Linked DNA regions of Caenorhabditis elegans. The protein of the gene in region 2 interacts with the protein of the main gene of each other region in a pairwise test. Each region holds a gene or a part of one and is shown on either strand. Other genes may lie near its edges. The genes, in order: vig-1, gar-3 and frm-1.

The links.
Region 1: the proteins of gar-3 (region 2) and vig-1 interact in a two-hybrid assay, tested with the Caenorhabditis elegans proteins (one study listed by BioGRID).
Region 3: the proteins of gar-3 (region 2) and frm-1 interact in a two-hybrid assay, tested with the Caenorhabditis elegans proteins (one study listed by BioGRID).

Annotation. Positions count from the first base shown.
Region 1 is NC_003280.10:1,317,800-1,326,928, reverse strand, and holds vig-1 (Hyaluronan/mRNA-binding protein domain-containing protein), read right to left. Parts: upstream 5,893-9,129; 5' UTR 5,782-5,892; coding exon 5,718-5,781; intron 5,597-5,717; coding exon 5,483-5,596; intron 5,436-5,482; coding exon 5,252-5,435; intron 5,194-5,251; coding exon 4,767-5,193; intron 4,716-4,766; coding exon 4,368-4,715; 3' UTR 3,856-4,367; downstream 1-3,855. Other genes in the region: fcho-1 (FCH domain only protein 2), read right to left, coding at 6,675-6,800, 6,844-6,903, 6,951-7,177, 7,778-8,231, 8,308-8,552, 8,632-8,758.
Region 2 is NC_003283.11:14,561,175-14,573,575, forward strand, and holds gar-3 (Muscarinic acetylcholine receptor gar-3), read right to left. Parts: upstream 8,802-12,401; coding exon 8,727-8,801; intron 7,930-8,726; coding exon 7,750-7,929; intron 7,692-7,749; coding exon 7,604-7,691; intron 7,277-7,603; coding exon 6,810-7,276; intron 6,762-6,809; coding exon 6,684-6,761; intron 6,041-6,683; coding exon 5,729-6,040; intron 5,643-5,728; coding exon 5,464-5,642; intron 4,749-5,463; coding exon 4,504-4,748; intron 4,456-4,503; coding exon 4,332-4,455; intron 3,982-4,331; coding exon 3,894-3,981; 3' UTR 3,646-3,893; downstream 1-3,645. Other genes in the region: srt-32 (Serpentine Receptor, class T), read left to right, coding at 39-119; C53A5.11 (Kelch-like protein 10), read left to right, coding at 1,715-1,726, 1,775-2,126, 2,587-2,798, 2,845-3,049, 3,098-3,465. UniProt on the Caenorhabditis elegans protein: The muscarinic acetylcholine receptor mediates various cellular responses, including inhibition of adenylate cyclase, breakdown of phosphoinositides and modulation of potassium channels through the action of G proteins.
Region 3 is NC_003279.8:14,891,202-14,901,051, reverse strand, and holds the start of frm-1 (Moesin/ezrin/radixin homolog 1), read left to right. Parts: upstream 1-3,689; coding exon 3,690-3,815; intron 3,816-3,869; coding exon 3,870-4,020; intron 4,021-4,267; exon of another isoform or gene 4,268-4,489; intron 4,490-4,661; coding exon 4,662-5,059; intron 5,060-5,615; coding exon 5,616-5,866; intron 5,867-6,192; coding exon 6,193-6,359; intron 6,360-6,408; coding exon 6,409-6,476; intron 6,477-7,117; exon of another isoform or gene 7,118-7,222; intron 7,223-7,309; coding exon 7,310-9,850.

The DNA.
Region 1 (9,129 bases), on a different chromosome or scaffold from region 2:
AAAAAAGGAAAAATAAAAGTGAATCTCTGTTCCAGACATGCGCGCTGGAAAAAATGATGAATGGAGTGGATGAGAGAGTGAAGAGAGTGCAGAGAAAATTGCGTTGAAAAACAACTCAAAAAAGGGGATCATGGAAAAAATATTCAGAAAATTTTCAAAACTTTTGTTCTTGAAAAATTCCAAAAAAAAATTTTTTTTCACCGAAATTCCAAAAATAATTTTTTTTTCCAAAATTTAACTTCTCAACAATTTTTTCGTCAAATTTTACAGCCGAAGCCTTTTTTACCGAGTTTCTAGATCAATTTTCGAGTATTGCGGGGGTACTGTAGGTTCAAAAGTACGCGAACACCGGACCTTGCGACAAAATGCACAGAAACTCAAAATTGCCGGAAAAGACGTGGTAGGGGTAAAATCAAGACCTGAATTTGAATTTTTAGATGAAAAATTGAGAAAGTGAAAAATGAAAAATAAAGAAAATAAGTTTGGAAAAAAAATTTTCTAAAATTTTTTTTTCCCGAAATTCCAAAAAAACTTTTTTAAATCAAAATTGAAGTTCCCTACGAATTTTTTGTCAAATTTTCCAGCCAAAGTCTTGTTTCCGAGTCTCTAGCTCAATTTTTAAGTCTTGCGGGGTACGGTAACACAGAATCTCAAAAATGTCGGAAACAGGTGTGGTATGGATAAAATAAGGTGCTGAGTTTGAATTTTAACATGAAAATCAGGAAAAATCTTGATAAAATAAAGATTTTCGAGAAAAAAACATTTTGCCAAAAACTCAACTTTTCGGGGGTACGGTAACCCCAAAAGTACGCAAACACCGGACCTTACGACAGAATGCACAGAAACCGAAAGTTGTCGGAAAAGGATGGATTAGGGGTAAAATTAGGTGCTGAGTTCGAATTTTAGCATGAAAAATTGATGAAAATTGAATAAATAAAGATTTTCGGGAAAAATTGCTAAAAAAAATTTTTTTTTGCGATGTTTTTTTCTGGCTTATAATTTTCACCAATGTTATTGGCTATATCATATCACGAGTTTTGACATGTTATCTCAATTTCCTCCCCCCCCTTTCTTCACTCCATTTCCCTCATCGAGAGAGCACACACATTTTCCAATAAATTCCGCGCATTTCCTGCTCTCTGAGGGTAGCGTCTTCTTCACACTAATCTCCCGACGAGATAGTATGTGAAAGTGAGAGACGCAGAGAAAATGAGAGCAAAAAAAAGATGTAGTAATGAGTGGGAATAGATTAAGGGGTACCCCCTGAAAGAGGGGGGGGGGGGGGGGTGGGGAGGTGCAGGTTTTTTTCGAAAAACCAAAAAAATTTCTCAAAATCCAACGATTTTCATAATTTTTCACATTGAAATTCGATCTCAGCACCTCATTTCACCCCTAGAACACTTTTTTCAGAGGATTTTGAGATTCTGTGCATTTTCGCGTAAGGTGTGCGGTGTTTGCGGACTTTTGGGGCTACAGTACCCCCCAAAAGACAAATTTGAGCAGGAAACATAAGAAAAATGTTAGAAATTTAATATATAGCCCTATAATTTATTTCCAGGCGAATATATCTTCCGAAAAAGAAATTTTGAAAGAAAAAACTAAAAAAATTGAATTTTCAATGTTTTCAGGTATTTTTTGATAATTTTAACTGTCAAATTCAAGTTCAGCGCCTCATTTCACCCCTGGGACTGTTTTTTCCGATGATTTTGAGATTCTGTGCATTTTCGCGTGAGAGACTCGGTGTTTGCGTACTTTTGGCGCTACAGTAACCCAAAAACGTCAAAATTGTGCAGAAAACGCGGGAAAAATTGTTCAAATTCTCGAAAAACGGGAAATTTGGAAAAACAATTGCAATTTTTTTCGGAAATTTTCAAATTTGAGCAAGAAGCTTAGGTCTGCTAGTTCTAAATCTGTAGTTTGTAGTCTGGCAGACCAAAAAAAAAATGTTGGAATAGATTAAGGAGCACATGAAGACGCCGAATTTTTTCATTTTCTTCTTCTTCTCGATCTTCTTTTTTATAGATAGAATGCATGCCAAAATGAATTCAGGAATTACAGAATTTCTAATGAATACGTGGATATGGGGCATAAAACGATGACGTGGCAAAATGTAGTTTGTAGTTTACAGCGGAATTTTAGAAAAAACGTATACTTTTTAAAATTGATAACTAGAAACTAAAAAATGACTTGAATTCTATGAATTTTAGCAATTTTTCATTATGAAATTCAAACTCAGGGCCTTTTTTTACCCCCTGGTCCATCTTTTTCAGACAATTTTAAGTTTCTGTGCATTTTGTCGTAAGATGCTCGGTGTTTGCGTACTTGTGGCGCTACAGTACCCCGGAAATTTGAAAATTGAGTCAGAACTTTTTAATTATCGCTAAAAAACGAGACAAAGTGTAGTTTTAAGTAAAAAAAAAATCGAAAAATCGAAAAAAAATGGGTCTGCTAAACAAATTTTCGTAGTTTGTAGCCTAGCAGACCCAAAACACAAAACCCTCCTCATAAATTTATTTAAACATTAATATTAATAGTCTACATAAATTTCCTATTCTCTAGAATTGAAAATTAGTATGTATTTAAGGAGACACAGAAAAAAATGACGTGGCAGCACTACGACACTCCGATATCCCGGTAGATCAAATTAGGTCAGACAAGAGAAGAAGCTTCGGGTGGGGGGCACTGAATTGCACGGAATTCAATTAGGAAAAGGAAGGGGAAATTGGAGAAAAAATACAACTTTTCGCGGGGTCTTCAAGATTTTGGTCTGCTAAATACAAAATGTAGTTTGTAGTCTAGCAGACCAATTTGGGGGGCCCATTTCGAAGCTCTAATTTTCGCAAAATGTTGACAAAAACTGAATATTTGAAAAATTATCTGTTACACAGCAGCACAATTCATTCAAAACATGATAAAACTTTCAAAAATCGGCCAAAACTCACGTCAGCTTGGGTCTAATTCTTTTGTGTAGTTTGTAGTCTAGCAGACCAATTTAAGGGAAAAACCATTTTTGAGCATTTTTTTTAAAAATAAAATGAATTGTACTTCTCTTCTGCTGTAAACAGTGTCTTGAGAGCTAAAAACTGAAAAAAAAATCCCTAAATTCAGTCAATTTTTAATTTAAGATTGGTCTGTTAAATAATTGTAGTTTGTAGTCCAGCAGACCCATACGAAACTCTAATAATTTGGGTCTGCTAAATACGACTTGTAGTTTGTAGCCTAGCAGACCAAAACTCTTCAAAAGCTCATGGGTCTGCTAAACACAGACTCTAGTTTGTAGTCTAGCAGACCAAATTCTCATTGGTCTGCCATTTCAGAATTGTAGTTTATAGTCTAAAAAGCTTCTCAGGGGACCTAATTCAATTTCAAATTCGGACGCCGCTGCTGTCATAAAATCGTTACTAAACTTGCGAAATAGCAATTTCCAAAGAGAGAAGAGTCGCAGGAAGATTTAATTAAAAATTAAATTATTTCGAACGCAAGCTCGCTCTATTGAGAATCTGAAGAATTAAAAATTCTAATTTAGGCGGCTAACAGAAGGGAAATCAATAAGAAGTGAAAGGAGAGCAAAAGTTTTTGCCGAGCAATGGGGAGGGGGGGGGGTGCTCCCTCTCTCCCGCTGAAGAAGACGTCGCGGCTCTCTAAAAGAGGCGGCAGAGAATCAGAGCACTCGGCTCGCGGCCTAGAAATGGCATGTGTCAGGCCACGCCCCTGTGGTTGGTTTAGACCGTTTTATTACAAAATACGGATACAGTTGGGTGGGGGGGGGGGGGGGGGGTGTGTGGAGGCAAAAAGAAGAAAAATGGGTGTTTGTGTGTGTGTGTGATATAGAATGATTGGGGTGTTTAACACAAAAATGATGCTTTATCAAATCTTGTTAACAACAAACTCCAATTAAAACGAAACCTGGGCGCAATGGGGTGGTGGTTGGAAGGGGCACAAATTGAGTTTCCTAGTACTAGTTCGTTGATCCTTGACACAATTGAGACCTTTTGTTGTGTCAAATATTTGGTAAAGAAGAGGTCGTCTTGGTGGGTGTATGTGGAAGATCAAGGGATTCAAAGGGCTTAAAAATTAAAGAAAAAACGGGAGATAACAAGCAAACCAAATCGAGGGCAACTCATCAGAAGAGAGATCGATAAGGCAGGTGATAACAACAACAAGCTAAATGGGGGAACTAGAAAAAAAAGAAAAATAAGAAACAGGCATTTTGGAAACGAACAATTTGTGGGGTAGATGGGCACAGGCAAAGATATTGAAAAGAGGAGAATTTTGAAGAAAACAAGATGGAGAGAAGAACAGAGCATTTGAATGAGGGCGGGCGAATTGGTTGGTTGGCTGAAGGTCGTTGAGTGGGGGGGGGGGAATTACTTGGCACCGAGAGCTGGGAAAGCATCGTCAGAAGCGTTGAATGGAGTGTTGTTGCGTCCTCCATGACCTCCTTGACGTTGTCCTCCACGGCCTCCACCGCGTCCACCTCCTCTTGGTCCTCCACGTTGCGGCCTCTCAGAACGGTCGTTGCGCTCGCGTTCTGGACGATCGTTGCGGAAAGTGATCGAAATGTCGAGCACTTGCTTTCTTGGAGCCTTGTGGATTACGACGACCTCGTCTTCCTCACGATCTGGGATGACCTCCTTCTTGATTGGAACGAGCTTGCCAAAAGTATCGGCGGCTCCCTCTCCGGCCTTTCTGGTGTTGAACTTTGGAGCGTCAGCCTGAAACAAAAAAAAAAATAAATTCCAAAACTAATATTTTATACGACTCACCTTAGCCGCAGCCTTGAACTCCTTAAGAGTCTTTTGCTTGGCAAGAACAGCCAACTCAGCCTCGTAGGCGAGCTCCTCAGCGGTCTTCTCACGTGGAACCTCTGGCTCGGTGCTCTCAGCGCCCTCTGGAGCAATGTTCTCGGTTTCTCCAGCCAACTCGTCCTTCTGGTCTCCCCAGTTGCCCTTTCCGTGTCCGTCCTTCTTGTCGAATGAGCGAACTCCGGTACGGTCGGATCCGGATTGACGATCGAATTGACGCCCACGTCCACCACGGCCTCCTCCACGTCCGCCAGATGGTCCACCTCCAAGGGTGAATCCTCCACGACGTCTTGGGGCACGGGTATCTTGTCCGTCTTCGAAAGAGACCTCTTGCTTTGGCTCCTCTCCTTCTCTGTTCTCGCGAGTGAATCCTCCGCGGCCTCCACGTCTAAAATACAAAGTTCAGTAAAATGAAAAAAAAAATTAAAAATTTAAGCGTTTCTTACCCAGCTGGACGAGCAGCACCGCGCTCACCGCCTCTGCGGGGTCCTCCACGACGGTTCTCGCCTTGTGGACGATCACCGTTCTCGTTGGAGACACGTTCTCCGTCACGTGGACGGCCGGCTCCCCCGCGTCCGCGACCACGTCCTCCGCGTCCACGTCCAGCAGCACCGTCGGTTTTGGTGGCGGCTGAAATAATGTTTAATTAATTTAAGAATAGGAATGCCAATTCTTACCAACTGGAGCAGCGGCTGGCTTGACCGGCTGGGCGGGCTTCACAGACTTTTCCTCCTTCTTCTTGGCGGCGATTTGAGACACCTTTTGGATGAGCTCTCTTGGGTCGTCATACTCTGCAAATTATCGATTTTTTATAATGTCTTCTGGGCGGAGTATATCGCATATGAATATTGCGCAATATCCCATCGGGAAGATAAGATAATCATCCGGCGATCATCATCATCAACCACTCACCATCGTCGTCGTCGGATGGAAGACCGAACTTGTTGGTGACCTGGCAACCGTATTCAGTGCTCATTTTTGCTGTTTGTGTTGATTCGATGAAGATAAGATTCCAAGTGCAGGAAGCTTCTGTTCAATTCAATAATTTCAATGCCAAGTTAATCAATAACCCATAATATGGGGATACCTGCAAGAACGTTAGTTTAGATTTCAAATTTTCAAACAAAAATCGATATTTAAGAAAAGAGTATAATTAGCCAGACACCGTTGCGATATTTTAAATCAGTTAAGCACTTTTCACAACTAAAATCAAAAAATAAAAAAAGCAAATTGCATTTTCTTAAGGGAATTTTTGAATGTTCCAGAAAGAAATCGAATCAAAAGTCAGAAAATCAACAATTGCTCAAAATCCACTATTTCGGAATAAAATAAACATTTTTCAGTGCAATTTTGATCAAAAATCGGTGATTTACTGCTAGCAACCCAAAAAATTACAAAAAACCGGCGAAAACGGTCAAAAAAAATCGGAAAAACTGTTCAAATCGGACAGGTGAAGGTTTGGCTGCGTATCACAATAGTGTAAACTGGCGTTTGCGAGCCGCTACGCAGCCAAATGCGACCGCCGAAATGGGCGGCAGTTTGAAATCGAAAACTAGTCCTCGGCCATTTTCAATCAATTTTTGGTTGGGGGAAAACTTGTTTTCCAATTGTTTTTGTTGTCTTAAAGTATTTGAAAAGAAATTTATGACATTTCCAGCCCAAAATGTGTGTAAAAAAAGTAAAAATGCCGGGAAAAAGTATTTATTACAGCGGGGGATAACGAATAATAGTGGAAAAACTCGTTTGGTGGTGAAAAATTGGAAAACTAGAAGTTGAAAGTTTGTTAAAATCACAGATTTCGCGAGAATTATGCTATATTTACACAGAAAAATTAAAACAAAAATCAAATTAAAAAGCTCTTCATCTTCTCTATTTCCGCAGCTCGGGATCACAAAAATATTTACCAGCGAGCACCTTTTTACGAATCATAGACAGGTGATAAATATCCGATTGCACTAGGGAAATGTCCACTCCAGATAGATTGGCTTCCAGGCACTGAAAAAGATAAATTAAGAGCTTAAATTTCAGTTTTTAGTACCTGAAATTGCACGAAGACCTGCGCCGGCTTCCGATCGAGCATTTCCAAGCTTACTTCGTCCTGGAAAATTATATATTTTTTATTTTAAAGCAATTAAAAAGCCCGACCCCAGAATTCTTCATAAATATCCTTGCTTTCAGCGATCCGTGCACATCTCCATTTCTTGAAATTTCCAGCAAATTCCAGCCGAGTGACGGATTTCCAGCCACCCATTTGGCTTCTGGCTCACACATCACAGAATCCACGCTTCCCGTCAAATTTGTGCTGAAATTCACGTTGAGAAGTGGCGCCGAGATGGAAGATTCTGAGTTGAGGCGATAGTCGACACGGAGATCTGAAAAGAAATGCGGATTTTTATTATTAGGCTTTATTTTTGGCGTTTGCATTTAAAAAGTACTACAAAAAACTCAATTTTATTTAGCAGACTCAGCAATTTTGCCAATTTCAATAAAAAATTTGGGTCTGCTACACTACAAACTACAAAATCAAATTTAGCAGACCTATCAATTTTCTGCAGTTTTTAATAAATTTTGGTCTGCTAGACTACAAACTACAAACTCTTAATTAGCAGACCCATCAATTTTCTGCAGTTTTTAATAAATTTTGGTCTGCTACACTACAAACTACAAAATCAAATTTAGCAGACCTATCAATTTTCTGCAGTTTTTAATAAATTTTGGTCTGCTAGACTACAAACTACAAACTCTTAATTAGCAGACCCATCAATTTTCTGCAGTTTTTAATAAATTTTGGTCTGCTAGACTACAAACTACAAAGTCTTATTTAGCAGACCAATCAATTACTGCGCTTTTTAGGAAATTTTGGTCTGCTAGACTACAAACTACAAACTCTTAATTAGCAGACCCATCAATTTTTCGCAATTAATATTAAAAATTCAAATTTTCTCAAAAACACAGAAGATTTCTCGACGAACCAGTGTGTCCAGGTTCGAATTTCCAGTACGACGTCAGGAATAGCGGCGGAACCATATTACACGGTGCCGTCGGCTCCATTTCGAACCGCGCGACCTCCGCGTTCACAAATGCCGCATCCGGCTTCGCGAGCTTCTGTGCTTGAAGCCACGTGGCAAGATGGGTCTTGTTAAAGTAGAAAATGCACATCTCGTCGTCCTTTTTGCTCACATTCTCATCGATAAGTTGCTTGTTGGGGAGCACTGATTTAATGAATTTAGCATTTGAGAGCCGGAATGCTAGTGGCTCAATTTCGTGTTGGATGGACGTGAGAAGAGTTATTGATGACGTTGGAAATGATATCATTACGGTGCCGAAAGTGCGCTGAATGAACTCTTCGGCTCCTTTTTTGAACCAAACATGCACGTGCTCGTTGATGGCCATGGCTAGCGGAATTCGCTGTTCGGATATTGTGGCCTGAAATTTGAAAAAAAAATCAACATTTTCGAGTTTCTTGAACCCTGAATCTTAAGCCTGAAGCCTGAAGCCTTACCTGCAATAAATTCCCGGTAGACTGTGACAAATTAAACGTGGATTCTCCAAGGGAATGATTCGATTCACTGGGCGCCAAATTGAAAGTACTACTCCACGGATCCATAAAGCTGCTCGCCGAGTCCTTCCGGCTCATCATTTGGCTCGTGGTGGGAGTGTTGCTTCGGGGCCGAGCTCGTGCGATTCCGGCCGCCATCGCCTGGTTATGACCCATGGAAACGGAGAAGGCAGGAGGATCCTCGGATTCTGGAATTAGGATTTCTTTTCAAATTTAGGAAATTCTACTAGAAAAGTTTAAAATATCGAAGAAAGAATATTAAATTACCACTAAAATTAGTCCTAAACCGTCCGTCAGCAGTGTGATGTGAGCGTAGAGGTTGCCGAAGGGAAGAGACATTCATCGACTGAGAGAACATCAGTGGAGCTTTTGTTCCGCCAATCGTCCAGGGATCCTGAAAGATTTCAACTACAAACTACAAAAATAGGTTCAAAAACCGGAAATTTGAGCTGAAAATTTCAAGAAAATTAGTAAAAACGTGCTTTTTTACTCCAAAAACACAATAATTTGGGTCTGCTAGGCTACAAACTACAATTTTCGATTTAGCAGACCCTACAAATTGTCAAAATTTTGAGGTTTCAGCCATTTTTAATGGAATTTTGAATTTTTTTGTTGAGAAATCTATGAAATTCGCATTTAAAACCGGGAAATTTGAGCTGAAAAGCCAAGAAACTTGGTAAAAACAGGCATTTTTTCTTTGAAACTGTGTTTTTTAATCTAAAAACACAAAAGTTTGGGTCTGCTAGACTACAAACTAAAATTTTC
Region 2 (12,401 bases):
TTTATAAACTATTCGATGCAATCTTTCAAAATTTTAAGTTCGCATTCGGAAAAACTTCAGTTGTGTCAAAAACTTCAGCAGCTCTTGTTGTCCAAGTGGGAAATCGTAATGTGAATTGAACGACAACCGGTAAAATCTACAATTTATTCGTTTTTAATTCGTTAAAATAGAATAAAACAAATTCAAAGCTTCAGATGTTTTTTTATTTATAGCAAGTACATTTATATTAAACCAGCAATGTCTGCACAAATAGTTCAAATAGGGAGAGAAGTGATTAAAAATTACGATTAGCAATACATATTGTTGCAAAATCAAATACCTTAGTTCCTCAGATAAATGATAAAGTTACTGTAATCACCACTTTCATATTGCAGAATGTAATGTTTATACTTTGATCGTTTTAGAACTCATGAAAATTATATTTCTAACCGTAAAAAAAAGATGAGCAAGAGGAAACAATTTCAGGTTTACAGTGAGGAATATTTGGTGACGTGTACCTGAACCACATTCAGCAAAAAAAAATTCCAAGCAAAGTTTTTATCAAAAATTGAACGACTTTTTGTGAGTTAACTGAGTGGAAATCAATTCTACGTGTGACGTCATGAAAACGCCTTTTCACTCATTCCACTCTTCATTCCACCTTCAGCTTTAAATCGCTTTTTCAGGATATATTTCTGAGATCTAGGAAGACTTGTGCCTCTGTGAAGTCTTCAGTCAAGATGACATAAAAAATAATTTCCTAATAACTTTCAATATGAAATACCATTTCTAAAACTGGATAGGAATTTCTATGTGTCAATTACAGTATCACATTGATAATACGATTCCTCATTTTTCTTTCGATAAAAATACAGGTTCTTTCAGCAAAGAGTATTCCGATTCTATATTATCGGACCATTATTTGATTTACTCATTTTTTTTCAGTTTTTATTCTCTTTTAAGGTAAAAAACATTTTACCTTAAAAGTGGATTCTCGGGATTTCGTCTAACGTTAATAACTTTTGGCAGTCAAAACAACACGCTCTATTTGTAAAGAGTTTTACGGTTTTAAAATTTTTCAGTCAAAGTTTTGGTAAGTTGACTAGTTTTCAAAAAAAATCGATTTTTTTTGGTTAATTTTGAGCATCTCTGCGGGTTCAAAGAATTACAATGTTTATTATTAATACAAACAATTGAAATGGAATCAAAATAAAATAAAGTCACAGAAGATTAGTTTTTTTTGGCGTCTGTCAGTCAAAATTGATATAGTTTTGGATGCAAATTAGAAATTTCCAAATAGTTCTTGAATACTTTACTACGTTATTTTGAAATTATAGCATCATAAAAGCAAATAACAAACTGTTTTTATTGCTCTTCACTAAACGAGAAGATACATAATCAGACAAACTCGATGAATCATGAAATGAATACAAAATTCTATATAAATTTAATGTTAGCAAGATTTGTCATCTCCGCTTTCTCGGCGCTAAAAGATTCCTCAGTAATGCTTTGAAATTTTTTTGAGTTGTTGAGTAAATACACACTTATAAAGCAACGCAGCATAGATCAAAGTAGAATAAAAGAAGAAAGCTTGTACCGTAGGCTTTATCCTTATTCTGTAGTTTTCCTTTTCACTTTTAGTTTTGTTAAACTAATTTTTTCTCAAACGTTTGATTTTCAGATAACTTCTCTTGGCATTCCTCGTCACAGGCAAGGAATTATTGGTGTCGAAAAAATGACGAATCACGTGAGACAATGCTAATTTATTTATATGTTCATAATTTTTCGATTTCAGATATTTTCAGATTCAGAATCAGATCGAGAATCTGGTGCATCAGAGTTTGATTACCACAGTGACTCACAATCAGAAGAAACACAGCATCCAAAAGCAATAGAAATGAGAAATCAGTTCAGAAACACTACCGAAAATCTGATTCAAACTTTGCAAATGTTTTTTGGAATATTAAGTTTTGAATTATACGAAGGAAAAGATAATTTAAAATGCATCACAATGATTCATGATATTACTTCATTGATGGAAGTTGCTGATACAAAATTGAAGAACTATATTAATACTTTGAATTCCAAAGAACAAATTTTTATGGTTGATGATGGTGTGCTGAATATGGATCCAATTTTGGTAGCAGGTAAGATTTCTCTTTGTATGTTAATAACAAAATGTCTGATTCTGACACTGATTGTGAGACATTATGCATACATCGCTAGCTAACTTCTGTATATTTCACAATTTAAAATATACTGGAATTTTCAAATCCATTGCTAAAGGACAAATTTAGATGTTTCGTTGTAATTAGGATATCTTGTACCGCAAGTTTTCAAGGAGGCATCGCTGAAGCTTTGAATGTTATATCATACTACATATGTATATAGTTAATTTGCAATATGCACAAAATGCTTCAGCGGTCAGGTTATATCATACTATGTATATAGTTAATTTGCAATTTGCACAAAATACTTCAGTGGCCACAATGAGCCGATCGTGATAGAAGACCGCACGATCCGCGTATCACGGCCGTTTGAGAATCGCCGTGCGCGCATCCGGATGGAAATAGCGCAAGTTAATTGTCTATCTTCTCTCTTTTTCAGATCGAAAACAAAATTCCCGCGAGCCACTTTTCATTGGATACTTCAAACCTGATACAATGAGCTTCATGCCTATTGGAAGACTTCCTAATCCAAAATCCCATTACGCAGTGGTATCCAGTTCAACGAAAGTTTTTATAATCGGAGGAATGAATAATGGAACATATTTGAATCGTGTAGAGATGTTTGATAAAGAGAAGGGTATTCGTGTAGAGGTTTGTTTATTTAGCTAGTGAATTTAATGAGCAAAAAGCTTTACAGTGTACAAGGCTAATGCATGGACGAACTCGGACATCTGCATGTATTCATGAGGACGCAATTTACGCAGTGGGAGGATACGATGCGACATATATGAGTTCAGTTGAGATTTATGATATTAAAACTGGAGGAGACTGGACCACAGGCCCATCATTAAATAACCGTCGCGCCGATGCATCAGTTGTATCATTTTATGGACAACTTTTTGGTAAGTTCTAGCAAGAATTCAACCTTCTCTTAATTAATCATGGTTCAGTGCTTGGCGGCTTCAATGGAAAAGATTATGAAGAGACTATTGAGAAATTATCAGATTCGAAAGACAAGTTTGAGGTTTGTGGTAATATGGTTGGACGTGCAGGTTTTGGTGCATGTGTATTCCGTGGAAGAATCTATGTGGCTGGTGGATGGAACACCCCTTGCAACACATTAAAAACCTTTCAAAGTTACGATCCATTGACAAATACATGGAAAGATGAGCCATCGATGAATACGGGAAGAAAGTATTTTAAGCTTCATGCTACGAATGAAGCAATCTATGCAATTCGTGGATGTTCTCATGACTGGGATCTTATTAAAGAGACGGAGAGGTTTGATCCACAGACTTTGACATGGGCGACTTCTTAATACAGATGTTCTCAAACAGAATTATGATAAAAAACATTGCGTTTTCATTTTTGGTCTTGCTATAATTGTTCCGAAGCATAAATTGAGTAAATTTCTTGAATATAAGAATGCAGTTTCTCTTCCAGGATTTTTTTTTCAGATTTTAAATAATTGTGACTCATTAAAAAATAGAACATAATAAAAATAAAGAGTTTCTTTACATTAAAAAACCCGTCAACAATGAATGAGCAATGATTCGGTGAGAAGAATGTTGATAAACAAGACCAAATATTTCGAACTAATTTGAAAAAAGTTAAGAAAAAAGTTGAAAAAAATTAGAAAATGATGATGTTGGACCGGTTTTCAAATGCATCTAATATACTGTTTCAAGTGTTTCGAGATCTTGGCAAAGGGAGTTGTGCACATTTTTGTACTGATTGATTGAGTCTCTAGTTGCGTCGGACATATCCCTGATTCATTGTGGGACGTTCCGCTTTAAATTTGCAACGGAGAATTCGCATGTATGTGTGACGGAATCTGGAAAGTTTTGGCATAATGGGTAGTTTTGTGGAAGAAGATTTGGCCGTTGCGTACGAGCCTCATACCGCATTATTTATGATTTTAAACTAAAGTGCTTGAAGTCGTCATTTTCATTTTCAAATTTCATAACCAGAATTTAATAAACATTCAAAAAATAACCAGACACAAGAAAAACCATTAATAGGTTCGGCCCAGAGCTTGGCTGTTCTGAGTTTTTGCATTAAACTTTCTTGGATTTTTTTGTGCTTTTCGTCTTTTTCATAACTACTATAATTTAAAATTGAGGCAAATTCCCACTAGTGCTATGCCTCTAACAAGTTCTTTTTAATTCTCCCAGTGATCCTTACCTTGCATTACAAAGAGCATAACAAAGTGGATTGATAGTCGAGTTGATGTAACAAAGGAAATAACTAAACGTCCATAAAACATTTGGAACAGTGTTCGGAAAAAACGCTTCCCAGCAAACGATCACTGAAATGCATTAATAATGAATTTAATCCTTTGATCTCTTGAACTCACAGTTATATGGTGTCCATGTGGCGATGAAAGCGCACAAAATGGCGGAAAGTGTTTTAGCTGCTTTGCTCTCTTGCTTCCTTTCATTCTTCCGTTGCTCTTTCTCACTTTTGCGCTCTTGAGAACTGAAGTTTTTAAGAATTCTTCCATTTTTGAATGGTGATTGCTTGTTGAGAAGACTGTGTCGACGCTCGTCAATCTCACTATTACAATCACTTTTTGAGCGATTCCGTGTGGAAATCGGTTCGCTGAAAATGGAATTGATGAAGAATGGAAAACTGTTAAGGTTTAGCAATGGAGCAACGTGTGAAACATTGTCAGAACTCGTCACTGTAAAGATCAAGAGCTCTACAATTTGGAAAATCTTGGAAATCAGATCATTGTTTTGTTTCATACTAGTAAAAGTAAAAGTGTAAAAAGAAATACAGAAAATGTCCGGGCAGTACACAAAAAAAGTGGAAAAACACCACCAAATTCTGAATAAGCTTATTTTTTATTTTTATGGGAAATTTTCACTATACTTCGTTTCAGATAATTTGCCAATTGATACAAATGTTCGATACCGTTACTGACATTCTGAGCTTCGGAATTAATTTCGAAACAACAGATAAAAAACAACAATAGTTACGCCTCAATCTAGGTGTATTTCAAATAGTTTTGATTTTTTTTTCAGCTCGACGGTATAAACCATATCGAATATGAGCTTGCAAAAATTTTTGATTGTGTAAACATGATAATGCAAAATAGTTATTTGTTTCTTACCAATTTGGTGAAGTAGAACAAATTAAATAAAGTACCCCGAAATTTCAAATTCCTCATAACCCACAGAGCCAATTGGGAGCAGCCAAAAAGAACAATTGAAAAACCAATTTAAAGATTTTCAAATTTCCGAATCCAGTAAAAAACCACTCCACATTTTTTCTGACTTCAAAAAGTCTGTACAAATTGTCCAATAAAACTCACTCTAAATAAGGTTCACAGCTACTTAATCGAACACTTGGACGGCTTCCTTCGTCATTTAACTCAATCAAAACTGTATAGGTGTCCGAATTGTTATTCTTTCCAGTGTCTGATGGGCGACTTCGAAACCTTGCTGACCCATTTCTCATAGATGCTCCCGCATCAGTTTGCTCTTCGTCTTCCTGGAAATTCAAACTTTAAAAATTAAAAAAAAAAAGAAATAGTAGTCGGGGCATTCAGTCGTAATAATTTGCAACTTTGTACTTACAAAATTAGTCGGCATCGGTGTGCACGGCGGTGAAATGTTTCTCCTTCGACTCCCACTCAACGCAAAATGACTTGAACTCAATGAAGTATCATCCAGGTTCATTGCAACTGCTTCTGAACTATCTTCAGATGAAGAATTTGATTTTCCAGTGCAATTTCTAAGCCAGGATTTTCGTTTCGAGTTCCGAGAGGAAGTACAAGGTGTCACGCTATCTTCAACGTATCCATCTTGATTATTCTTTTTTCTCATTGAACCACTTGATTTGATAATTGAAGTGGAGGATACATCCCGCTTCATTGATCGACGCGAGAACTGGAAAGAAAATCAATTAGACTTTGTAAAACATATATTAACCATGGAGTAGCGTCAGTAGGAATTTTGTTTCAAATGATAGATAATAGTCTGAATTTCTTGAAAAAAACTATGAATAAAGGTTTTTCTGTCAGAAAATTTACTTCATTTCAGCACAAATTTTCAGACGGCAAAATTAATTTTCAATTGCTGCGAAGTGTGGTTATTATGAAGATTTTTTTTACAATTTTTCAGTAAAATTTTTTCAGCAATGTTATTTCTTGCAGTTTTTCTTGTTCGTTTTTTATGAAATATTTCCAATAGAGCTGTCGAAACCTCTAAAACTTTTACGAATATGATTTTTTGTGAAATATTAGTTTCCTTTTAACTATTTTGAAAAAATAATATTTCCGACCAATTAACAAGTTTTCAAACCTTTGCTATTTAAATTATTATTTCACAATTTTTCTGCAATTTAAAACTAAATCCTCATTGGTGCTACTCCACTTTTTAGGAAAAAATACTTGGGTAATCTGAAGGAGAATAGTCATGCTTAGAAGTTGTCTGGGAATCGAATTCAAAAAAATCATAACAATTTGAAAATCGAAAAATGATGATAAATGCAAAAGAAAAGTTTAAAATTTGGTAGCTTCTAAATTTGAACCTTTTTAACTTTTTTCCACATTTTAGAATTTCTGAATGATTGAGTTGATGGCCGATCTACCACATCGCTTGCCCAAGTCTGATTAGTTGGATTAGTGGAAACTTTTTTAAATTAATGAATGATTACCTGCGTAGCTTGAAGCTTTCCAAACTCTTTTTGTCGTTTTTGAGTTTCCCAATATACTCTCGTGTACAGAATGCACATAATTGTAACAGGAAGATAAAATGCAGCAACCGCGGTTCCAACTGTTACATACGGATTTGTCTGCAGGAATTGTACGACACAAGTTCCAGGTTCTGCAGTGAATTTTCCTTCGATATACGGCCATGAAATGATCCATGGAGGCCATAGAATCAAGGATATTATATATGTGCATGCAATCATTGTCAATGCTTTTTTAGTTGTTCTTCTAGGCCTGTAGGACAACGGTCGTGTCACTGAGAAGTATCGATCGAAGGAAATGAGCAGAAGATTCAGGACGGATGCGTTGCTCATTAAATAATCGATGCATAACCAGAACTGGCACATTGTGTATCCAAGATCCCATTTTTGAATTGCAGTGTAGTATGTGAACATGGGTATTGATATGACACCTGAAATATGATATTTATTTCACTAATGTGAACAGTGCATCGAGAAAGTATTTTCTGTCGCATTTTCTCGCATTTCGCCTTTTTGGTCTGTTTGTTCACTGTCCACTTTTTGTCGCAAACTTTCAATTTTCTGTCGCCCACTCCCAACTTTTTCACACACCTTGCCGAACTTTGGAGCACCTTTGTATCTTTCTGTACCAATTTTCCGTACTCACATATTTTTATCACATACTGTTCTCCACTCTTTGCCAAACACTGTCGCGTTTCTATCAGTTATTGGCGATTTGCGACATACAGCTATGATTATTTATTGTAAAAACCACTCACCAATTGCAATATCTGCGACGGCTAAACTAAACAGGAAATAGTTACTAATTGTCTGAAGTTGCTTGTCGATTTTGAAGCTAACCATTACCTGCAAAAAATCTTATGTTCACACAACATTACCAATAGGTTTTGATTTTTACACCCACCATCAAATTTCCAAGTGAGGTTACTAATGCGAACATTGCACCGATGACAACTATCATAACCATTCGACCTTCTTCACCGAGCAGCGACGACGTGGAATATGTGTCCACAAAGGATGGAGTTGAGGTGGATGATGTCGCAATCGCTGTCTTTGTCGCATTTTCGGCCGACGTGTTTATCACCTGAAACATGAAATGTGAGTTGGAAAAGTTTGATTGTTATTTTTATAGTTAATCCACGGTACACCCATATATGATCACTGTGAAAAAAAAATTTCCAAAGCCTCCCCTCAAGATTTGTTTCCTTCAATCCCCACCTCAGTTCTCATCAATCTATTTTTCTAATCTTTTCCTCATTTATTTTCCTGCAAAACTATTTATTTTTTCCACCCTCTCATCTATCCAATCTCACTAATTGATCATCACAAAAAGTATTTGGAGCTAGCAGTTGGTAAATAGGAAGTTCTTTTTTTGTGTGTTAACGTGTCCAATACGAGCATTCTTTTATTATCTGATGAGGAATGAGCTTTCATCTTTTTGTTTTATTGGCGGATAATAAAAGTAGATAGGTGGGATTGTAGGGATACTGGAAAATGATCAAAAGGTGTCTTGGAAAAATATCTGATTAACTTCTAATTTACTTTTACAAAAAATAATTTCAAAATGTTAATATAATTTTAGCTGGGTTTTTTTTAGCAGATCAGTCGAAATGAGAAGGGATATGTGCTTTCATTCTCCAATAATTTATAAGGCGCCCCTTTAAAAACTCTTGGTACTGGTGAATTTTCCAATTTTTCAGTCTTCAGTCTTCAGGTGTATCTACAAACAGTGTCTGCAAATTACTATGCAAGTACTTATTGTTTTGCATTTTCTTACTATTTAATTTTTTTTTATTTTTCCGAGATGATTTCGTGATTTGTGACCCGTGGAATCATAATTTTTCCCTCAATTAGATAAAACAAATATCGTATACTACTTACCTTCACCAACATCTGGAATAAGTGTGTCTGCCGGAATCGAGGATCATCAGCATTCCCCAACGAAGAGGACTGCATCCTCTCGTCTGTGGTGATCCTGTAAAAAAGAAACGTTGTTCGTTTGGCAACACACACAACAAACTGGGAAAGGGAAAAAGAAAATATGGAACATCATAAAACCGGGGAAAAGGAGATGAAAAGTGGTGTTAACAGGGGGACCTCATATGAATTTTTGAAGACCTTCAAGTGGAGGAGGACCTTCTTTTTTTTTGTTGAGAATGTTGTTGTGGCGACATTTTTTGAATTGGAAATTGGGAACTAACAATATGGGAGGATACAATTTAATTTGAAGACACAAGGTACAAGAGCATGTACATATATTAATTTTGTGGAAATTAGATTATAAATTTGAATTTCAGGTCTATTTCCGGTGGCCGGTAACTCAAGTGGTGTGGGTGACAAAAAACTCGTGTAAAAAAGAGGGTGAAAAAAAGAAGGGCATTTATATACTAGTATATTGGTCCTTCCTTTTCTCCCAACAGGACCACTAATATCAGGTTTCAATCCGGTGGGGCTCCCCAATGTTCTTTTCTCTTTCGCTCTTGCTCAAAACTTTTTCATTCCGTGTGAGCTCATAAGTCTTTGACGATTATAATGATGATGTGGTTTGAATGTTAAAAAAACAAACTAGTCTCTCGTCGTGCACTTTGGACCACAAACGACGCATGAGGTGTGGATGGCGAGACGTTCGAACGGATTTTTTCAAAACGTTTCGAATTTTCAAAAAAAATTTAAGTTTTATGTGATTAACTTTTATTAAAAGGTTCAGAAAATAGTAAGTTTTTCTGTAACTTTAAATTTTTTGTTAAATAATAATGAAATAATTAAATTTTCTCCAAAATTAAATAATAATGCACAATGCAATACTAAAAATTACCATTTAACTGTAATTTTTCATTTCCAAATTTGATCCAGAATTTTACTACCGTATTTTTCCTATCAGTATTGAACTCTATTGTTTAACTTTGACTGCTTATATCTTAGTTGTTGGTTGTTCTATAAAAAAAAGTGTCAAAAACCTACATATTTGTTATTTCTTGTGCTATTATATTCTAGTGAAATATTTTTTTTGATATCTTTAAAAATAACCAAGATAAGGGCTCACAAAGTAAAACCGCCGGGTGCAATAGTGGAAATACGGTAAAACTTTACATGGTCCACGAAAGGCTACCATTTACGAGTTTAGACTTCAAAAATTTGAAATTCGTATTTTCTGCTTGGGGGTTCAATTATTTTTACTGGAGTTTCCAATAACTTACCAAAATTAGCCAAAATCAGTTAAGACCAGTGAGAACTTTTTTGAGTAATAGAGTTATGTTTTTCCAACTCTTTACCGACGATTAAATACATAACTTAAAGTTTACGACTAGTTGAGCAGTTTGAAATGGAGAGGAAATCTGTGTACTTCAAAAATCGTAAATCTTAAAATGCTCCATATAATTGATCAATTATTGGAAGAATAATTAAAAATTGAGCTCTCAAATACCGTACACTTTTTAATGGATTTGGCATCAAGTAAATTTTTAAAAGTTAGGAGTGGATTTTCAACTACTACATTTGAGTCGTGAGTGCAATTCTAATATGGAGGAGACGAGACAAGATTTCTTCGTGACATCACCCACATTTAAATTAGATTTTTAGAAAGATTTGAGATTCTTAAAATGAGATTACAAAATGGACTATTGCTATAAACAAATTGATAACCTAAGAAATTTGACAAACTTGAGAAAATGTATTTCTTGCTTATTGTCTGAAACAAGGAAGAGTGCTTCGAAAAGAAAAATTACATTTAATATAAAAAAGTGGACCTTTTTCTGCTCTCCCCTAACCGAAAGGGGGCGGAGAGAAAGAACGAAGAAGTGATGGAGAATAGAAACAAAAACCGAAGAAGTGCCCCGGGAGATGAAGAGAGAACAGGCAAAAAAGTGGACAAAAAGGGAGCACAAGCGACCTATTAGATGACGGTTCATCGCACCACACGTTTTGACTTTCTTCTCAGGAATAGTGGAAACATTGAGATAGACAGAGAGATATAGAGAGAAAGGTAGAAGGGCTCTCGGGAAACAAGAAGGGGAAAAAACGGAAAAAGAAACAGGAAATATATTGAGGTTTTACCTGAATCCCCCCAGGTTCCGAAATTGGGGACGCAAGGTTTGAGAACTCTTTTTGGAACAACTTATTCTTAGAAATCCTCGACATTTCAAGATCTTCGAATGTTCACTTCCTACAAAACCTTCGAGTTTACCATAAAAAGAGTTCTAAGGTTTGAAAGGTATCCTATAGGCTTGCTCAATGCCTACCTGTTTACTTTAAAATCATCCAGGACTGTTGAGGTCGTTGAGTCGCTCATAGAAAAAGAGTTAGAAAACATTGTTTTCAGTTAAACATTTTTGAATAGAATACCTGGCAATTAAGATATAAGCGGTCAAAGTAGAACAATAAGGTGAAAATCTGACAGAAGAAATAGCGTATTTTCATGTTTACTATGCCTTTCGACACGCTCGTAGGCACAAGGTAGGCGTAGCTTGCCTTTAAAGCAGCTAGGCAGGAGCCTACTTACAATTAGATCTCATGAATGATAATGAATAGATTTCTGATCGTATCAAAATGTGATTTTTTCCAATACCGGGAAAACATGTTGTCTTCAAAGCAACTGGAACAACTACAGTTTGAACTATTTTCAGCGGATCTCATTTCAAAATGGCAAAGCAAAAATATAAAAGTAGCTCAAAAAGGAAGAATAATCAATTGTTCTTCTTTTTCTTTCATTTTTCTCTATCGAAAGTGTTAGTAGTGAATGTCTGTGAGCATTGCTCCCACCAAGTTGTGAAGTTTTTGTTTATAAAAGAGCATGTCCTTGGACCACTTGTCACACACGTTTTTGGATGCTTCGCGATTATTTGGATATTTTGAGCATGTGTGGACGATGTGAACTAATAATAAACACCCCAGAAATTGGGTGTACGTTCCTGCCTACCGTGTAGTCTCTATTTTGCCACTGAAGGCAGGATGGCATTTTTGTGCCTACAAATTTAAAAAGTTTGTGTGCTCAACAGTATACGGTATATCGGAATTGAATGCCAAAAATTACAAATTTGTAAAAATATCTCTAATTTCCAATAATCTACAGTTTTCTTTTATCTTCGAGTAACAATTCAAACAATTATATTGACAAAGAAAAAGTGTAAAAAGTTGATGAAAAGCGATCTATCGGCAAGGGTAAAAGCCACGAGATATAATAAGAAGTTGGCCTCTCTCGCCCCGAATCTCACATATATATCTCATATCAATATCACCCCCGACTCTCCGATCATCATCATCATCATCATAAACTTTCTAAAATAAATAAAGAGTGAAAAAGAGATGCAGACGTACAAACAAAATGAGCATTTACTCTTGGGAACAGCAGCCTGTGCGGGGAAAAAAAGGAGCACACATTTTTTATCGGTTGATCTGATCTTTCTAGTGGTGCCAACAACTTTCCTTTGCGTTGTTTTGTTTTGGGAAAATATGAAGAATATGGGGGGAAAATGGAATGATCGAAGCATTTTATAGTTTTCGAACAAATGAGTAAGAGTTCACAGTCGTAAAAGGTTTAGAGGTTTTATGATCCGACAG
Region 3 (9,850 bases), on a different chromosome or scaffold from region 2:
TTAAGCACCTCCAAAATTTTGAGTGGCAAAACTGAGCAATTCACACTTTTTGACACAAAATAAAAAATTTTCAAAAAATTTTGAAAAGTTTTGTTGTGATATTTGGTCATTTTGACTACATAGGAATACTTTTAAGCATTTTCCCCACTGGAACTACTCCACCTTAAGATTTTTTTTGTTAAGATTTTTGATGAATATCTAATACGTTTTTTAAATGTTTCCTTTTAAGATATTTGGATAACATAACATTTTATGCAGTGACATCTCGTCGACCTTAAGAATGCAACAATTTTCGCCCACTTTTTTGCCCCTCATCAGCATCTTCAATTCATTCCGCATCAGTACTCTCTATTGCAGCTTCCGGCCTCTACTGCCGTTGACGGTGTTGTTTTTGTTTGCACCCTCTCGCTTCTCGCTTCCATCGTACATACACATAAATACATACACTTTCCCTTTCATTTTCCCACCCATTTTTCCCCATTTTCCATGATACGCTGCGAATCATTTTTTCGATTCGTTTTTTGTCGAAATATTTGGTTAGCATTTAGTACTGATTTCCAGAAATTGTTCCATTTTTCATTATTTTGCTGAAATTCCTGAATGATTCATCCGTGTTTTTTCTTGATGTTTCAAATAGAAAACAATCATCAAACCCCCCATTAAAATCCATCCATTTGCACCGCCTATCTCCTCCTCCTATCACACACAGTTTTCATTTTATTCTATCATTCCGCAACCATTCGTGTTGGTTTCCATTCTGATTCCTTCTTTAACTAAACAGGATATTCTCTGAAATTCGAGAATTGTCCCCTGATTCATTTTGGCAAGAATCTCCACAATGGAGAGTACGGAAACCTTAGGAAGCGGTGAGTAGTTTATGTAAATATGCATCTTAGAAATTGATGGGTGGTCTAGAACTAGTTTGTGACTGGTTCTTGGGAAAAACGGGAACGGAGTAGACTAACTTTTCACGCCTTTTTAGTGAAACTTGAGAAGACATCTAGGCAAACAGTGGTAAGTCCCGGCCTGGCGCGGTTCTGATAGTGAGTCCACATTTCTGATAACATTTACTTATCGCAGTAAAACTTATATCCGACACTAATTAGAGTACACGTGGAACGTTGTAAGTGGTGTTTCAATGACATGAAGCTGTCTGAGTTAATATCAATATACACTTGAAATACTTTAGTTGTGCTTGACTTTGGTCTCTCCCTAGTCGAGAATTTTCGCAACTAGTCAAAAATGAAATCGTCTATCGCAACATGTATAGTTGATAAATATTAACACAAATAACCAAAGATTAAGTTTCGAATGTTGTGACTCATGCTTTCTCCTTTATTTTCCTCTCCACTACTGAATTTCTACACATTTTTCGAACAAAAAAGAACGTTCACTAATCCTTTTGGCCTTCTCTTCCTGCATCTCTCTTTCTCCCTTACTCCACTATTCTCTCGTTTCGTCGCTAGCAAAAATTACCCTCAAACTCCGCCCAAATATTGGAAACTACCAGTCATTCTGTCCGCTTTTTTCCATCATTGTCACTGTTTTCCGTGTGTGTCGTTGAGCGCTGGTGCCCTTGGTCGATAGATTGGATGAATGAAGGAGTGAGGGCGCCAACAAATGTCTGCGCATCTGGAAGGTCTTGCACTATTTCTCAATTTTTATGCTCTTTGTGAGGGACGGACATACGGTGACCAAGGGCATAGTGTCAGAACCAAGAGGAACCATCTGTTTGGAGATGTTTTGAAATTTTGTTTTGGCAATGCTGGGCATTTTTCACTTCTGGTAACGGTTTTGCATTGGGTAGTTTGAAGTTCGGAGCAGTGGTTGGTGGCAATTACAACTGGGCCGTTCAAATTTTCGATAATTCGATAATTTCCTCAATTTTTGAGATTTGGCAGTTGTTATCTATTGCCAAATATTTTTAATTTCCAAAGGTCAAACAAGGAGGGGCGATGTTGACTGTCTCTAAAGCTAGTCATAACTAGGTCTGTGAAACAGCGGAAGGAAACTTTCCAAAAAATTAATTGCCTCCAATAATTCTCTCATCGGCAACATTGTCAATCTACAAGCTGGTTCAACAATAAAAACTGTTTGTTCTCTCTCTTCTTTGCTATTGCGAAAAATTGTCTCATTGCAACACCTCTCTCGCCTTCATCTTTTCTGCCTCCGAATTCCCACTACTGTGATTGACTGAGATGAAAAGAATAGAATGAAACAGTGTAATAAACTAAACGTTTTTGTTTTTTTTTTCTGCTGTTTTGTGGCCAACACAACGCCTGTTGGTTTCGTCTTCTTCATCCTGATGGCGGTGGCGAGAATAAGAGAGGAGAGCAACAAATAGCACAGAAATAGCAACAGTTGTGTGTGCACCTCTGCTATCAATTGAAGCTCTCCGTAAGCATTATTTTTTGCTGTTTTGATATATTGGAATTCTTTTGAAACTATGTGAACAATTTTTTATTGTGATATTTGCCAATAATGTGTATTTTGGGTCTTGTAGCGACCAACATGACTGACAATGAGAAAATTACTCTATCGAAAACTTCTAATTAAAAATACTAATCGTGATTTCACTTTATCAAGTTCACAAGCTTTTTAGAAACGTGTAATAAACGCCTCAAGAATGTATTCGGTTGGGTCTCGCCACGATAAAAAATTGTGGTAGCAATTTTCTATTTATTCGGGATTTCGTGAGCAATTTTTGTAATCATCACTTTAATTTTTTCTCGATGTTTTCCTATTTTTTCCTGAACTAAAAAATACGAATTACTTATTGAAAAGCTAACGAAAATCAAGGAAAATCGTTAAAAACTAATAAATTCCTGAAAAAAATAAAAATTTCCACCATAAACGTTTTCGTCGCGGCGAGACCCACTCGAACATAACTATGCGCCTTTAAGTTTACTGTAGACAAATTTTGTCCGTTTTTTCGATGTTTTCCTCTATTTTTTTCTATTTTCCTACCATTTATTGTATTTTAATTAAAAAGTAATTAAAAAGCTAAAAAATTAACTTATTCCCTGCAAACTTTCGACACGAAATCTTCATTTCTCAAAAATTAGTGTTATTCGCGCTGCGAATCCACATTTTCCACTTTTTCACGTTCTCTGGCATTTATAAATTTGTTTTTGTTTTTCAGAAGATAAAAACGTAAAAATTCACGTTATAAATTCCCATTAAAATCGTCAAAGCCAAAATTTTGAATTCGTATTTATTTCTAGTAAAAAAAAAGTATTCTTCAACTTTGAATGTAAATTTAGTTAACTCTTCCACTGTTTTTCTCCAATACTCTTTCTTTTTTCATTTCCACCTTCAAATGATCCTAATATTTCATGTTTTCTCACCACAATCTGCGGGTACCGGAGAAAAGGTGTAATTTTTCTTTATTGTCCTTCTCTACTATGCCTCCCAGAATTTATTGCGTTTTTTATGCCGGGCATTGGCTACTTTTTCTCCCAACAACACCAATTCATCCCTTCTGTCTTTTTTTTTCGCAGAAAAACAGAACAAAATGTGGCATTTCGAATAGAGCGCGTTTGCATTACTCCCCCCCCTCCTCCCTGTCGGCCGGGCAATTCAAATTTTAACACTTTCTTTTGCTCTATAAACTTTTAAAACTTCTATTTTCAATGAAAGTTGCAGTTTTTTTTCTAATTTTTATTAATTTCCTCCACATTTCAGAGCAAATGGGTACCGATAGAGATCCCGGAGACCAGAAACACCCAACGACTAGCCAGCAGCCACGAGATTCGAAAATGCAGTTGGCAAAAGTTCTTCTTCCCGACGGAGTTCAAAAGGAGTTTGAGGTTAATGTAAGTTTTTGAAGAATTTCACCGGAAAAACTGCTAAATTCTAAATTTTTACAGAAAAACTCGGAAGGAGAAGCACTTTTCCGACAAGTGACACGAGATCTATCGATTGAGGAACGCGAATACTTCTCGCTGTGCTTCTACGACAAAGATGAGGGAACACGACATTGGCTATATAATGATAAGAATATTGCGAAACAGATTAAAGGTAAAAATGAGAAAAAAAAGAAAATTTTGGTTAAAAATGTGGATTTTCTTCACAAAAAGCTAATTTCCCCCGCTTTTTCAAAAAAAAAAAACTGCCTTGAAATTTTTGGAAAGCTGTTTCAAGTAAATAAAAATATTTCTCTTATTCGGAAAAGAAATTGAATCGATTTCATGTCCAAAGTTGTATTAATTTTCCTTTTTTTTTGTAAATTCCCTGATGAATTACAAGAATCTAGGAATATTATCCTTAAAAATATAATAAAAAACTCTAACCCGCGGCCACGTGTCGATTTACGCAGCTCGTGTATTCCTCGAAGAAAAATAGTTTTTCTACATTTTTCGCAAAGTTTTCTCAAATCTTCTGTGTATTTCAAAGAAAATCGAAAAATCTGATAATTTTAATTTTGAAATCGAGTCTTTTTTAAAAGTTTACTGATTTTTTATAGAGCGAAAGCGGAAAATATTGAAAGTTGGAATTTTTGTTTCAAAAAAAAAAATTAGTCTGAAAAACATCGAAATCTCGAACAATTTTCAACCAAAAACTGCGTAAATCAACACATGGCCGTGTAAGAGGTTTCCCGCGGCCACCTATTTCATTTTCTTTTTTAAATCAATTTTTCAACCAACTGTCAAATTTTGCAGGTCTTCCTTGGGAATTCTCGTTCGAGGTCAAATTCTACCCGACCACACCTACAACGATCGTCGACGATCACGCTCGCTACTACGTCTTCCTTCAACTCAGACGTGATCTCCTCACCGGACGTCTTCCAGCTACTGCCGACACACATTCTCTTCTCGGATCGTTTGTCGCTCAAATCGAGTTCGGTGATGCTCCAGCAGAGATGACGGATGCCTACGAGCAGTTCATTGTGGCGTCCAAGCTGGTGCCATCAGCACAAGCGAATCCGGAAACATACAAGAAGATTGTCGATTTGCACAGAGAGATGCGCGGACAGACGCCTTCTGAAGCTGAAAATCAATTTTTGGATCACTGCAAGCACCTGGCTCTCTACGGAATCCACCTTTTCAAGGCAATCTCCGTATGTTTTTCGACAAAAAAAGGTTCCTGCTCGAGTACTCCACTAGGAAAATATTTTTTCTTAAATTAACATCTAAACTTCTATCATTTTCTTCTTTTAGTGCTCATTCTTCAAGTCCTTAATTTTGAAGAAATATTTTTAGTGGTTTATGAAAAAAATAGTAGTATTTACTTTTGTCTAAAATAATTAATTTGTTAAGTATTCTCTTTCAATTTATCAGCTTGGTGATTTTTAAGCTAATTTTGAAATTTCCGCCAATTTCTTGAGGGTGATCAAATTTTATTCACTGAAAAGTGTTTGGCAAATTGAAAAACGGTGTTTTAACTTAAAAATAAAAAGAAAATCAGGAAAACTGGTAAATTTAGCCAGTCAACGCATTGGATGTTTGAATCGAATTATTATTAAATTTGAATGAAAATTTGTCATATTCGGTCATTAGGGTTTTCTGTCACTTAAAGCACAAAATGTTTTGACTCTGTTCCACCTGTAAAGGAGTAAAAACTATTCGAAAATGCCCAAATTAGCTTTGTTTTTATAATTATAAAATATCTTTCAGGATAAGGACAAGAAGCCTGTGGACGTTGGAATCGGTGCCGCCGGAATAAACATTTACCAAGACGAGCAAAAGACGCATTCCTTCAGCTGGCAGAATATTATCAAAATCGGATATCGTCGTACTTACTTCTCGATAAAGCTCAAGGCAGGGACTGTCGAGAAGAATGAGAAGACATTGTACTTCAAGTTGCCAAACCATGTCGCCGCAAAGAGGACTTGGAAGTGTGCAGTCGAACATCACACTTTCTTTAGGTAATTTTTGAGAATAACTTATCTCAAAAACTGAATTTCTAAAAGAGAAGTTTAAAAAATACGTGAAGATTGCCTAAAATTATCTAAAAATTTCGGATTTTTCATCTTGCAGGAGTCGAAAAATAATTTTTGTTCTAATTTTCGAATTCCTGCTCGATGGATCAATTTTTTTTCAACTGTTTAACTGAAATTGATTTTTGTTTTGTTGAATTGTCGAACATGCTTTTCCAAAATTACGATTAAATAATTATCTCTGTCGTTTAAATTTAATTTCGACGGGTCTGAAAAAATTATTTCTTAAAATTAAATAAAATCTTTAATTTCAGACTGATCCAACCTGAAGACAAGACACATAAATCATTCTTCAACTTTGGCTCCCAGCGGTTCCGCTATCAAGGACGCACTCAATTCCAGACAAAGATTGCCTCGCAGATGTTTGATAAACCATCGACAGTGGACAGAGCGCCATCTGCAATGTCTCAACCAATAGCAAGTGAGTTTTTGATTACAATAGTTGAAATACATTATTAATGAATTTACAGCAGCCGAGAATCAGAAACTTCAAACACTCAATCTCACGGATTCGGAATTGGAGCAGCGCCAATTTGAGGTTAGTTTAATTGGTTTCCAGTGTGCTTTTCTATGTTTTTGTTCTAATATTATTTTGCATGAAACGCTTTTTAGAGCGCTTTTTTGTGTTTTCTATCGCTCACATCACAATAACTGCTTTTCAAATTTTGGAGAAAAACCACCGAAAACCCCTCAAGCACAAACACAAAATTCACATGTTTCTTCTTTCTACTCAAAAATTTTCAAACTTTTCCGCTAAAACGTCAACTTTTTTCTTCATAGTTCTTCCCCTTATTCTTCTAAAGAACTGTACAATTTTCAATATATAGCAATGTCCCCTCTTCTATTTCTGCGTGAACTTTTCTCTCATTTTGTTGTAATTCTGAAAATTCGAGAGTTTTCAGTTTTAAATATATGCATACCTATACAGTTTCCAGCTAAATGACACTACCACAGTTCATTATGATTGTAACGGCGTGGAGAGGGGGTTAAGATAGCTCCCCTCGTTCAATTATGTGCCCGATGGTGTTTTCTCTCCAAAATTCAATTGTTTCTTTCTCTATCTCTAACCCCTCTCTCTCTCCGCACTCCCGTTAGAGAGTTTCCTGCTAATCGCCATCGTCATCGTCATAAGGTCTTCTGGAGACCTCGTTGTAGTAACATAGTATCGGAGAAGTCAACATCATCGTCATCGTGTGTGTATATTTGCTCTCTTCTGTTTTGAGGCTATTCGGACATCCAGGTTCTTCCTGTCTTGATCGTCTAGCTTTTTTGTAGTTTGTAGTTTAGTTGTGCACCACAAAACCTCGGTTTAGTTTGCGTCTGGTAGTGGCTATTTGTGTGTATCGATCTCTGACCTTCCTATATTTTCAGAGATACCGACGCGCTTTGACACCGAAGTCCTACACATCATCGAGACAAGACGATGACGCGGTATCAACTGCCACATTTGCCAAGTATTCTAGGCCTTCGACTCTTCTTGTTGTTTCCACTTCTGGTCATCACCAGCAAAGTCCTCACGAGTTGTCGTATTCACCACGCGGCGATGATTCCTCTAACTACTCGTCGGCAGCCTACTATATGTCTGAAAGATCGTCGTTGAGAACTCCGTCATCCGCCTATTATCCTCCATCCGAATATACGAGTCCAACTAGTCCTGTTTATTTTGAAGGACAACATCATGGCGAGTATCATGTTCAGATGAGGCAAACAGCTTCAACTTCAGCTACTGGACCATCGAACTCGGGTGCCCGCAGAAATCTGTTTGGTCGGGCGTCGGACGCAAGAAGTTCTCAAGCGTCTAGGGATAGTGTTCGTCTAGTTTCTTTCCATGAACCTGTAGACCCAAATGAGCCGATTCCAAATACTTATCCGTACAGTGAGCTCCCGCAGATTCCGATTGAAAGAATTGTGCATGTTTATCACGAAGGCCACTATGATCGACTGAGTCCTCGACGCCAACAACGTCCAGAACTGCCTTACGGTTTCGGAAACTATACCCCTCGAAATGGAGTTAGTCATGTTGACAACTTGCAGCCTGATGGAGAAATGGATCAACAACCGATTAGATTCTATGTCGATGTTAGACATTCTGGAGCTAGTCGGCGGAATCTTGCAAAGCGATTGAGTCATCCAGGAAAGGAGGACATCAAGGAACAAATAGATCCAAAGGATTACTACTTCTCAGCTTCTTTGGCTAGTGACCCAATTCATCGAACTGAGTTAAGCAGAGAAGTTCAGCCAGCCAATATTCAGCAGTATACACGCCGGTATCATCATGGGGATTCGATTCACAAACCTGATACTCCCCAATATCGTTTAATTACGCATGTTCATCCACTAGCTGTAACAAATAGAGATGGACGAGATGGTCAGTCTTCATCGAATTTGAATGCAACGATTTCTCAGCGGGAACAAGTTGTGTCAACAAAAGTTCGTCGAGAATCTCCTGATGCTGATAGAAGAGTTCGTCTGTCGGCTAGTGTTGATCGCAGTGGAAATCTTACTGATACTACTGAAGAAATGACAAGGTCTACTAATGAAGCTGCCACGCCAACAACAGTGGTAACCACAAGAATCGTTGAGAAAAAAGGAAAAGGCAAAAAGAACAACCAGAAAATTCCTCCATCTTCCAATAAAACAGATCACGCGTCTTTCGAAGGCCAAGAAAAAAGGAGCCGATTTGGTGGATTTTTCACTAAGAAAACTTCTCAAACATTATCTGGTTACCCTGAATCGACTTCTCAGTTTACCGGAGAACTTGACGCTACCCATCGTGATGATGATCTTGAACCTTCAACTTTTTCACACTCCAACAAATCGCAACAGTATTCTTCAAAGCAAGACAAAACGATCATCACATCTGTGGAATCAAAATCTGACAGCGGAAACAAGAAACGTCTAATGGCTGTCGAAAGCCCAGAAGTTCCGAAAAAATATCGTCTGATTGCTCGTATCCGCCACGAAGGAGATGAAGACGTTGTTGAGAAACCAGAGAAGTATTCCTTTGTCACTGATTCTCATAGCGGGATGTTGGAAGAAACTTATCGTCAGAAAGAACTCGATCAAATTCCTATTAGTTCCCATGCTGCTGTCTATCATCACGGGAAATCGTGGAGTATCCAAAGACAGAGCACTTTGTCACAAGATAGATCTAAGATTTCCTCTCTGGGAGCAGACGATGCTAACCTTTCTAAAAAGAAAGAAGTTCGACTAATTGCCCGAATCGAGAGTAAAACCGAAGAAGTTGCTCATAAGAAACATAAGAAAGAGGGAAGCTCCGTGTTTGGATTCTTTAACCGGCCCACAAAATTACCGGCAGGTACTGAATACCCAGAAAAATCTAACGTTTTCACTGGAGACCTGGATACTACGGGTCGTACTAGCGATCTCGAGCAACACCCTTTTCAGCACGGAACTCATCCCGCATACTCGCCAAAGAATGTCGAAGCATATCAACCGTCAGAAAACTCCAATGGTGAAAGCAAAACAGATATTCCGGCAGCCTACGGTTTCCCATCTACTTCCTACGACGGACCGCTCGAAACAACATCATTAGAACGCGATTTACAGCACGTCACTATTGCCGCGCACTCCAATGTCTACCACCATGGTGATTCGTCAAGAATCGAAAAGCATGCCTCCCCAGTTGCTACTCCTGAAAAGAAGCAGAAGAAGGTGAAATCTCCAAAGAAAGAGAAGGTGGATGTTCCAGCTGAACCAGAAAAGAAGGAAATTCGTCTGATTGCTCGTGTTCGAACTGAGCCTGAAGCTGAGATTGTTGATGTACCGGTTGTCAAGGAGACAAAAGAGAAGAAGGGAGACTCGAAGTCGAAACTTCCAACTTTCGGATTCTTCAGCAAAACCACCAAGACTACCAAAACCACTGGATATCCCGAAACGTCTGAAGCCTAC